Arabidopsis thaliana: one gene and its partners. The protein of the gene in region 1 interacts with the protein of each later gene in a pairwise test. Each region holds a gene or a part of one and is shown in the gene's direction. Other genes may lie near its edges. The genes, in order: DDL, TTL and MYC2.

Region 1 (3,834 bases):
ACTTTCTTAGATAATTAAGAGGGCTGGTGAAGAGTAGTTTGATATTATAATAGAGAGATGTGAGAAGCTATTAAAATGGTTCTTAGATTTTTATTTGCCTAATTCTCTCAAATGTGACCTCTATATAGTGGGGGAGGCAGAGGTCAGGAATGTTGTAGGTTTGGCACGATTTTGGCCCTTTGTTCTTATTATTGTTTAAGTATTTACTTGTTATAATATTATTTTGTTGGTTTTAATATTCTAAATGGCAGTTGAACAGTTTGATTTCTTTATGTACGTGCAAGAACAAATAAAGATATACAAGAGAAGTGGATCACCTTCTTGTTGTAGTGGAGATTATAAATGTACACATCAACTTGAGATTTGCTAAATTGTAATCTTTTTAGTTAGCACACAATATATAACATAACAACATAAAGTACTTTTGATGGGTGAACCTAAATGTATTTTGGTAGTTTTCCAATAAAAGTGTTAATTTAGATAAAAACATTTGCCTAATGATACATTTGCCTGATGATAATCACAAATTCACAGAAACAGTAGATAAGGATCAAATTTTATATTGTCCATTAATGAAAATAATTTCGATAGAAGCTGAAACAAGATATATTAATTTCATTTTAGCTTATATTCTCCGTTATCTAGCGTTTGATGTAACATTTATAAGTATATATCTGTATTAAGTACAAGAATTTGTTGAGGAAGGAAAAAGTGTTCTTACAAACAAAAATATAAATTTGTCAATGATGGAGACATGTAATTCGTGGGGAACTGCTACTAAGTGTTTAACGATAATATATATGGTTTATAACGTGACAAGGTGATGATAGTCAATTCATCTATTTGAAAATCCTTCAACAAAAAAACAGAAAACGTGATGAAGGCAACATTAGGCTAACACCACAAATAGCTAATTGATATATAAATATAGTCGGTCCACGTTCTCGAACCTTTATAGTCCGGCAGGATAATTATTTTACTATTGTCTAGCTTACAAAACATGTACGACATATTGCACTTTTAGATTGTGAGATACGAATTGTGTGAATTTGTAAAGTTAGTACCGAATCTTTGATGGTTGTTATAATAATTTGCCTCTTTTTCATCAGCAATCTATGACGTAAGAGGCTACGTATGTTCGCTTAAAATTTGACCTAATTTGGACTTTGTCATAGTGAAACCGTATGACAATAACGAAGAAGGTGACGGTGACCGATTCTGATATATGTGACAGTCTAGCCAGTATTTTGCAAAACATAAGATACTAATGAAGTGCATGATGCATGACCGATATTTGAATTAGATATACAAGCCGGCTGGTAGATCATTAGACAACATTTGTTTGTGTGTCTATGATGCGAAAAAAATAAATATTCTCAATCTTTGACAAAAAATATAATAATGACAAAGTACATATCGTTTTGTTCATACGTAAACAAGAATTAGTTTTTAATCGTCTATAATATTGGCGTACACTAGTATATACATGAAACTAAAGATACATCAAATAAACAAGGAGACATGATTTGGGATTCGATGAGCCATCACCCGACAAACCAAAGCATCACCCGAGAAACTCATACTGACCCGTCTCTAAAGCTCGAGTCTATGAATGCTGTCTTCCACATAAGCTTCAAGGCCAACAGTTGCGACTACAAATCGGTAGTAAGGAGAACTACAGATGGGATTTCAGGACATATGTTCCTCGAAGTTGAAAATTTCTCTCCACAAGTTCCTTCATGAGAGGATCAAAGTTGGTGGTAAACCTGGTGCACTCTGTTACAATCAGAACAAGATCACTGTCACTTCTGATGGTTTATGTCGTTTAGCTATCCACCTCAACTATATCTATGATCTTGTATTTGTCTTCTATCCTATCAAAGTTGGTGGTAAAGCTGGTGCACTCGATTTGTTACAGGCTCACCGATTTGTTTGATGATCAATTATAAAATCTTTGTTGCAAACTAGGACGAAGAAACAAAAATCTCGAAGGAAGTACAAGGGTACGACGTTACAAGCGGCTTCTGCCCTAATTATACATATCCTTTCTACCAAACAAGATATGACACGTGTCAACTAATGGAAGTTTTACCATACCGTCTACAATTTGTTTGATATTGAACCCCTCAGTTTCCATTTATTTGCAAAAGAGGCCAAATAAATGATTCTTCTCGTTTTGGCTCTGATTCTTTTTATCTCTGCGATTATTATTATTCACTCTCTCCTCTTCTCTCCGCCGAAGTAGTCACAGTTCCGGCCACCAGGTAAAATTTTTCTTTCTCGTTATGCAGCGATTTTTTCTCTTAACGATTCTTGCAACCCTAGACTATGCCCGGAACTTCTGAATTTAGTATTTGAAATCTGTAGCTTACGTTTTTTGGTTTAGGGCTTTTGCTCCATTTCTAGTTTCTATGCATTTGGGAATTAGGGTTTACTGTGTTATCTGGAGCTCACATGCCTTTTCCTTCTGACCCTGGTTTCAATTTGTGATCTTTCCAAAGGCAAAGAAGAGAGAAAACGACCCTGACTCCAATAATGGCTCCTAGTTCTAGGTCTCCTTCACCACGTACGAAGAGACTGAGAAGAGCTCGAGGAGAGAAGGAAATTGGGAGAAGTAGAGAGAGAGAAGATGATGGTAGAGAAAGGGAGAAGAGAAACAGTAGGGAAAGGGATAGAGATATAGGAAGAGATAGGGATAGGGAGAGAAAAGGAGAAGGAGAAAGAGATAGGGAAGTTGGGGATAAGAGAAGACGATCAGGGAGAGAGGATACTGAAAAAAGGAGAAGGACAAGAACAGATGATGAGAGATACTCTAGAGGAAGACATGAGAGGTCTACTTCACCGTCAGATAGGAGTCACAGGAGTAGTAGGCGTTCACCTGAAAGAGCTATTGCCTCAAGGCATGATGAGGTATTTCTGCTTCTTTCTTTAGCTTGGATATGTTCTTAATCTCAGAAGTGTTTTTTTTTTTGTTTTGGGTTTTACTTGTGCATATTCGTATTCTGCTTGAAAAGATAAATGTGATTGAAATTGTTTAGCTCTGATGTATGCTAGAAAAGGTTAGCCTCTGCTGCTTGTTTCGTCACATAATAAATAATTGGAATCCTGTAATCTAGCTTATCCATCTCGTGAGTCTATAACTAGAACCTGCAGCCAGCCATTTTTTGCTTACTCTGTTGCTAAAGGACTTAAGAAAGATAGTCTCTTTGTTTCCCTTCAGCATGTCCAGTAACATCACTTCTCATGTTTCTCTCTTTTTAGTAAAAGCTCATTATATAGATTATGGTTGCTTTCTGCAAATTATCATTTTCTGCGAGCCACAGATTTTTGTTACTTCTTCAGTCATTTTTATCGCCTTTTGTCTTTTCAGGGGTCTAATGCAAGAGGGGGCAGCGAGGAGCCGTGAGTTTTCTTCTTATTAGATTAGCCGTTACAATTTTTCAGTCTTTCTTTTAACCATGTTATGGGTTTTCGTTAACAGAAATGTCGAGGAAGATTCAGTCGCGAGAATGAGAGCAGTTGAAGAGGCTCTGGCAGCGAAGAAAAAGGTATTATATCAAGCCCTATTGATTTTCAATTTCCAATGTCATTTTGAGCTCGCTTAGCTCATCCATGCATAAATGCTAACGCTTCAAATCTAATTTTGATATATCTTGTAGGAAGAACCATCATTTGAGCTATCAGGGAAACTTGCTGAAGAAACTAACAGATACAGAGGTGAAACTTCTGATCCGTCCATTTCATTTAAGAATATCACCTGTTACCATTACCTTGTGCTAGAAACTTTTGCCATAGTGTTTTCATTGCATGTTTGAACTGCGAAACATCTGCCTT
Region 2 (3,834 bases), on another chromosome or scaffold:
TCCTCTCATGCCTCATTTTACACAATGAACACTAAATACTTGAACTAAACAATAGCAGAGATGTATAAATAAATACTGTCCCATAAGATCAGTGCGCTTTGGATACTAAATAACAAGCTAAGAAGCTTTTGATGGTTCTTCCCCTGGAGCGTCATCCTCATCATGATAGATGTTTTCAGCCATTTGCCATATTTGGAGTATGTTGTCCTCAGCAACACTGGAAATAACCCAATCTTCACAAGGGTTCCACGAGAAATCTGAAATTTTGCTAGTGTGACCACCGTGAATAAACAGCAGCTCAGGTGGGCCGTCTTCTGCGTCCTCCACTGTCTGTTCCTCATCGATCCTATCATAAGACACCCTCAAACATATCAATATTGCTCCTCCATGACCATACATGAACATTAAACTAAAGAACTAAAGTCTACGGCCCAAACCTGCTAAGGTCCCAAACCATAAGTCTTCTACCAAGGCAACATGAAGCTAAAATAGTCTCGTTCTTTGGGTTCCAACCAACTTGAAAAACCTCCTCTCTGGAGATCAAGCACATAATTAAGGTTAGTGATGTTGCTGTAACTTGTAAATACTTCTTAGTAACACAAAATCCATCTCAAAGCGGCAATATTTATGGCGTATCATTCTTACTTGTGGCTATCAAATGTGTGAAGAGCGGTGCTTAGCTTCCGTAGATCGAATAATTTAACAGTCTTGTCAGTTGATCCTGTTGCCACAACCCACTCATTAAATGGATTGAAGGCTAAGCAGTTAACCTAAGGCATTTCAAACAACTCAACAATTAGCAAATACATACGAGGCAATATGATTCAATGGTTTTTAGTGTTAAGGAAAGCAAGCTTAAAAACCAGAAGTATTATCTGTATCTAAAGCTAATATATTGCAAACTCACCTCCATCGAATGAGCAACCACAGACTGTACTGGTTTACTGGCAGATGGAGAACGCAGATCCCATATGAGAAGGTATTGGTCATCTCCAACTGATCCAAACAGGTACTCATGTCTCAGATGCCATGCAACATCTTCCACAACCCCTTCATGAGCCTTAAGTTCAGAAAATAATCATCAGCAAGGAAAACACAGAAACCAACCTGAATATCTATCTATGAGCTTTCATAAGTGTAACTGATTCCGTTAAGTGGGTGCAATTCCTTCCTTTCTAGATGATACAAAACAAAACTAAAAACGAATAGAAATCCAAAGCATTACCTTAAAAATCTGCTGAGCGTCCAGAGATTTGTTTTTAGGAGTAGCGTTAATATCCCACAAGCAGATCTGAGCATCATCAGAGCCACTAAGCAAATGACCCTGCTTGAACTTACTCCAAGAGAGACCATATCCCTCAGAGCTGTGACCTCTAAGCTTTAAATCAGGATTACAAGCCCCATCAAGAGGAGGCTTAGATGGATGCTTACTGTAATCGAAAACATAGACCTCCGCATTAACTGTCTTGGTAGCAATTATGAAAGGGTTTTGAGGCATATAGCGAGCTCGATTAACCTCACCATCATGATTTATCTGCTGGATAATTTGTACCTACACAAGCAATCAAACTAACATTTATCATCCTTTACCTCGTTATAACCCTAGAATCAAATCTAGAAAGTTGGAAATGAGAAACAAAAATAAAAAATCGCACCTTTCCAGTTGCACAGCCAAAGCCACCAAATTCAGAGCGGTCATCATCGTACTGACGAGCTTCACTCTCGGTATCGTCAAGAGGAAGCTGAACTTGGGCTAGCATCAAGTAATTGGGCTCGCTCTCGGAGGTATGGGTACCGAGAATCATCTTCTGAACGGAGTAGTCTTTACCGGAAGGTTCTTCACGGTCAGGAAGCCATTCAACAGTAAGTGAAGGCCACTCGAGAGCGTGAGTAATAACGAGATCGTAGAGGAAAGGAGTGTTCTTCTTCCAGATCTTGTACTCTTCATTGATTAGTCGCTCCTCGATCTCACCTCGCATTTCCTCTTCGTCTTTCCCCATATCGGCGATGTCTTTGTTATTCCCGCCACAAGAACAAGGCAAAACCCTAAAACAGATCTCTTTACAAATTGTAAGAAACTTCTCGCTTCTGTTTCTGAATAATTCACATATAGAAGATGATGAATAAAAAAAGGAAGAAGATAAAGAAAAGGCCCATTTTTGAAAAGCCCGTTTATGAAAAGGCCCAATTAGATGACTTTTGATCTTACACCAGTCAACAGAAGTGAGGATTGGAGAAAAGAGAGAAAAAATGGCGATGGAGATCGGAGAAGATGAATGGAAGGTTTGCTGTGGAAGCTCCGAATTCGCGAAGCAGATGTCTACGTCTGGACCGTTAACTTCTCAAGAAGCAATATATACTGCAAGAGACATCTGGTTCAACCAAGTTAATGTGACAGATTGGCTTGAAGCTTTCTCTGCTCATCCTCAGATTGGGAATACTCCTTCACCTTCTATCAACTCCGATTTTGCTCGTCGGAGCGTATCAGAACAGTCAACCGCCTTTGCCACAACTTCTGCTTCTGCTTTACAGGTGATGGATCTTCACTTTTTTTTTCCTTCATCTCTTCAGTGATTTCTTCTTCTGATGATCAATTGTTTTCAATTTCTTAGGAGCTTGCCGAATGGAATGTACTTTACAAAAAGAAGTTTGGCTTTATCTTCATTATTTGCGCTTCTGGCAGGACTCACGCTGAGATGCTCCATGCGTTAAAGGTCAACTTTTGCATTTCCAAATCAGTTTTTGTTGAGTGTGAGTGAATGAGAAAGTTACATATTCATCAAATCGTCTCTTTTTCAGGAAAGGTATGAAAATAGGCCAATAGTGGAGCTTGAGATTGCTGCTATGGAACAAATGAAAATAACAGAGCTACGAATGGCAAAGCTGTTCTCCGATAAGGCTAAAGTTATATCAGAAACTGACAGCTCTAGCTCTCCTGTTTCAACAAAACCTCAAGGTATATTGATGATTTACCAAATCTTTTCCTTGTCAAAGTTTTGTGTTTGACTGTGTGGGTTTGAACCTGTTAGGATTCAGTATGATATCAAGTATGTGTCTTTTGGAATACAAGGATTTACCCTTATGGCTATCTTTGTTATCTGTGTGACCTTTTCTACTTTCTCGCTTTGTAAGATCGTCTGAGAATCATTGGAGGGCATTTGAATGTTGCAGCTGAAGCAAAAGCTCCCAAGAGAAGTAGGCCACCGATCACGACTCATGTCTTAGACGTCTCACGTGGTGCTCCAGCTGCAGGTGTTGAAGTGCACTTAGAAGTGTGGAGTGGTACTACCGGTCCTTCCTTTGTTCATGGAGGTGGTGGGGTCTGGTCCAGTGTGGGCACATCAGCTACTGATAGAGATGGGCGCAGTGGGCCACTGATGGATTTGGTTGACGCTTTGAATCCAGGGACATATAGGATTAGCTTCGACACTGCAAAGTATTCCCCAGGCTGCTTCTTTCCCTATGTTTCCATTGTATTTCAGGTTACAGAATCACAGAAATGGGAGCATTTCCATGTCCCACTGTTGCTTGCACCTTTTTCTTTCTCCACATACCGTGGGAGCTAGAGCTATGCTACTGCTGTCTGCGGCACCAACTTTCCAACACATTTTGTTTTGGTTGTACCACTACGGGAACATGTATCAAAATTGCTATGAAATGAAGTCTTTATTCGACATGTATAAAAATTGCTATGAAATAATGTCTATTCGAGTATTTATTTGGATTTGTAGTTCTGTAGAACAAACAATGAATTAGCGAAAATACGAGCTTTGATCTAGACTCATTGTGAGTAGGACAACGATAGTATAGATTACCATGTTAAACATCTTGGGA
Region 3 (3,600 bases), on another chromosome or scaffold:
GTAAATTTATATACATATGTATATATATGAACATATGTTATTATAATTATGAATAAATTATTGCTACTTAGGAACTCAATCAACAAAAGATACATAGATTGAGGCGCTTCTACAAGGTCATCCTAGTCACTTATTAACCTAACATATGTAACACATTGTATAAGCTATTCGAGCATGCCAAATCAATCAAGATCATTATATCATGTTCGACGATCTATCGAAAGTGTACACCAATTGATGATTCTCTATTTCTCTAAATCTAAGAATAACTCGAATTGGTCACATACAAATTTGGATCAGGTAACAGATATATTTTTATTTCATGCAGTTAGGAAATAACATATGGGAAATTTATATCTTACGTTCCACATTGTTCCCGAATCCCGACTAATGTCCCTCTCTTTCAACAAGGTGATAGTAAGATCTTCATTTAATCAACCCGACTCTCTACTTAAAAAATTTCAACCATTTTCTCTAAGAAGTCAGAACACTCCATCATCCCCATTCTAAGCTCAACATAACAACATAACAAGAAAACTGTCATCTTTGTTATCTCATTTCTCGAAGTAAGGGGGGAAATCTCTATATTTATCCCACTAATTATTCATTACTTAGTGGGATATTGTTGTTTTCTAGTGGCGTCACCCCCAAAGTCGACATGAAATATGATATCACGAATCACCTAGCCAAAACTTAGTGTAACATCTTCTCATAATTTTCTTATAGTAAACATGTTCAAAAGTCGACTCACAACCACCAGACAATGGTTTGGTTGTTTTCTGTTTGTTGAATCGTTCATTGACGAGTTCACCCAATACAGATGTCTCAGAAAATTATATTCAAAAGTTATTTTGGTTGTTATTTACAAAAAATGGTATACTAGATCCCAAAATTATTTTACTATTTATTGTTGGTAAAATACTCTTTAGTTTAATATGGTTTTAATAAGAAAAATCAACCGGAGTATCATTAATCTGAACGTATAAAGACATATCATTGAGTTTATCACAAGACAACGTAAATCTACAAGAACACAATAACATAAGTTTAGTGTTTTGTTAGTAAGAATTTGTCTTCGCAAGATAGAATTTTAGAAGTATATATATATATATATATATATACTATTTTATCTTAATTCTTTTTGTTTTATTTTTGGTTTTTAGGTAAGGGTTAGGAGTAATGGGACCATATTGGTGGCATGCTAAATTATTGTGATAAATTTATGCATGGAGGAAAAGATGCCAAATGATTTATGTTATTCACTCATACTCACCTAATGACCTAATCCTTGAATTATTGTTCGAACTTTAAAAATAAAATTTTAATATTGTAAATTAAACAAACAATATAACGTTGTTAGCATGTGTTTATCGTGAAATGTGAATGTAACTAAAAATATTATAAAGGAGTTCTTCCTTTCTTAAAGCATATGCTAATAATAGCGTTTGGTCAAATTAATAAATTATTAGTTTATTTAGTCGTCAACAAATTAATTAGTTAAGCAGACAAGAATCGTTTTTGGAGATAGAGATTCTCACTTGCATTTCACTCTCTTGCAATTTAACATATTAAGACAAACACAAATTTTTGCTTTAGTGAATTATTAGCAACGACTCACGTTATATAGATATGCAAATCTCAAAATTAATTAAGCTAAGACACAGTATTTGATAATTGAGATTACAAATCTTAAATTTTGATTTTTAATATTTTAAAATAACATTATAAAATAAGTAATTAATCTGTTATAAAAAATATATTCTAAAAGTTGACAAAACGACAAATATAAATCGAAAAAATAGGTGAAAAGTTATAGTAAAGTGTTTTTCCACTGAGCTCACAGTTCACTCTTTGGTACAAAAGAAACAATCAGTTAAAATCTAAGTCAATCATTAAAGAGCGTGTGATACACGTGCGACCAAACAGCCGTACGATCTCACTCACTTCCGGTCTTAATTCTTACCGCGTCGATCCAACAGTCGATGGGGTTAAATCGGGATGTGAGTTCATCGAAGCTTCTCTCTCTCTTACAACCATCCACGTTTCCCAATGAAATCTCGCCACGTAATATCCCTAACAACAAATTTACACATTCACCCTCAAGATCAGTTACACATATAATAATCGCAGACGCTCTCCATTTTTCTCCACTACGAAGACTTTCTCCTATCTCTCTCTCTCTCATTAAAAACGTGTTTTTTTTTACCGGTCACCGGTTTATGGAATGACTGATTACCGGCTACAACCAACGATGAATCTTTGGACCACCGACGACAACGCTTCTATGATGGAAGCTTTCATGAGCTCTTCCGATATCTCAACTTTATGGCCTCCGGCGTCGACGACAACCACGACGGCGACGACTGAAACAACTCCGACGCCGGCGATGGAGATTCCGGCACAGGCGGGATTTAATCAAGAGACTCTTCAGCAACGTTTACAAGCTTTGATTGAAGGAACACACGAAGGTTGGACCTACGCTATATTCTGGCAACCGTCGTATGATTTCTCCGGCGCCTCCGTGCTCGGATGGGGAGATGGTTATTACAAAGGTGAAGAAGATAAAGCAAACCCGAGACGGAGATCGAGTTCGCCGCCGTTTTCTACTCCGGCGGATCAGGAGTACAGGAAAAAAGTGTTGAGAGAGCTTAACTCGTTGATCTCCGGTGGTGTTGCTCCGTCGGATGACGCTGTTGATGAGGAGGTGACGGATACGGAATGGTTTTTCTTGGTTTCGATGACGCAGAGCTTCGCTTGCGGTGCGGGATTAGCTGGTAAAGCGTTTGCAACGGGTAACGCGGTTTGGGTTTCCGGGTCAGATCAATTATCCGGGTCGGGTTGTGAACGGGCTAAGCAAGGAGGAGTGTTTGGGATGCATACTATTGCGTGTATTCCTTCGGCGAACGGAGTTGTGGAAGTCGGGTCAACGGAGCCGATCCGACAGAGTTCGGACCTTATTAACAAGGTTCGAATTCTTTTCAATTTCGACGGCGGAGCTGGAGATTTATCGGGTCTTAATTGGAATCTTGACCCGGATCAAGGTGAGAACGACCCGTCTATGTGGATTAATGACCCGATTGGAACACCTGGATCTAACGAACCGGGTAACGGAGCTCCAAGTTCTAGCTCCCAGCTTTTTTCAAAGTCTATTCAGTTTGAGAACGGTAGCTCAAGCACAATAACCGAAAACCCGAATCTGGATCCGACTCCGAGTCCGGTTCATTCTCAGACCCAGAATCCGAAATTCAATAACACTTTCTCCCGAGAACTTAATTTTTCGACGTCAAGTTCTACTTTAGTGAAACCAAGATCCGGCGAGATATTAAACTTCGGCGATGAAGGTAAACGAAGCTCCGGAAACCCGGATCCAAGTTCTTATTCGGGTCAAACACAATTCGAAAACAAAAGAAAGAGGTCGATGGTTTTGAACGAAGATAAAGTTCTATCATTCGGAGATAAAACCGCCGGAGAATCAGATCACTCCGATCTAGAAGCTTCCGTCGTGAAAGAAGTAGCAGTAGAGAAACGTCCAAAGAAACGAGGAAGAAAGCCAGCAAACGGTAGAGAAGAGCCACTAAACCACGTCGAAGCAGAGAGACA

Evidence for each region.
Region 2: the proteins of DDL (region 1) and TTL interact in binary tests that used the Arabidopsis thaliana proteins (3 or more experiments, as listed by UniProt).
Region 3: the proteins of DDL (region 1) and MYC2 interact in binary tests that used the Arabidopsis thaliana proteins (3 or more experiments, as listed by UniProt).

The regions. Positions count from the first base shown.
Region 1 is NC_003074.8:7,176,302-7,180,135, reverse strand, and holds the start of DDL (SMAD/FHA domain-containing protein), read left to right. Parts: upstream 1-2,115; 5' UTR 2,116-2,264; intron 2,265-2,501; 5' UTR 2,502-2,535; coding exon 2,536-2,910; intron 2,911-3,370; coding exon 3,371-3,402; intron 3,403-3,481; coding exon 3,482-3,548; intron 3,549-3,659; coding exon 3,660-3,717; intron 3,718-3,834. Other genes in the region: AT3G20555 (uncharacterized protein), read left to right, coding at 1,522-1,662, 1,745-1,936. UniProt on the Arabidopsis thaliana protein: Involved in the microRNA (miRNA) and short interfering RNA (siRNA) biogenesis. May facilitate DCL1 to access or recognize primary miRNAs. Binds RNA non-specifically.
Region 2 is NC_003076.8:23,554,278-23,558,111, reverse strand, and holds TTL (transthyretin-like protein), read left to right. Parts: upstream 1-2,110; 5' UTR 2,111-2,250; coding exon 2,251-2,532; intron 2,533-2,612; coding exon 2,613-2,714; intron 2,715-2,799; coding exon 2,800-2,956; intron 2,957-3,132; coding exon 3,133-3,566; 3' UTR 3,567-3,716; downstream 3,717-3,834. Other genes in the region: MSI1 (Transducin/WD40 repeat-like superfamily protein), read right to left, coding at 118-346, 438-533, 646-770, 908-1,060, 1,226-1,552, 1,656-2,000. UniProt on the Arabidopsis thaliana protein: Involved in the last two steps of the degradation of uric acid, i.e. the hydrolysis of 5-hydroxyisourate (HIU) to 2-oxo-4-hydroxy-4-carboxy-5-ureidoimidazoline (OHCU) and its stereoselective decarboxylation to (S)-allantoin, a major ureide compound.
Region 3 is NC_003070.9:11,799,538-11,803,137, reverse strand, and holds the start of MYC2 (Basic helix-loop-helix (bHLH) DNA-binding family protein), read left to right. Parts: upstream 1-1,730; 5' UTR 1,731-2,224; coding exon 2,225-3,600.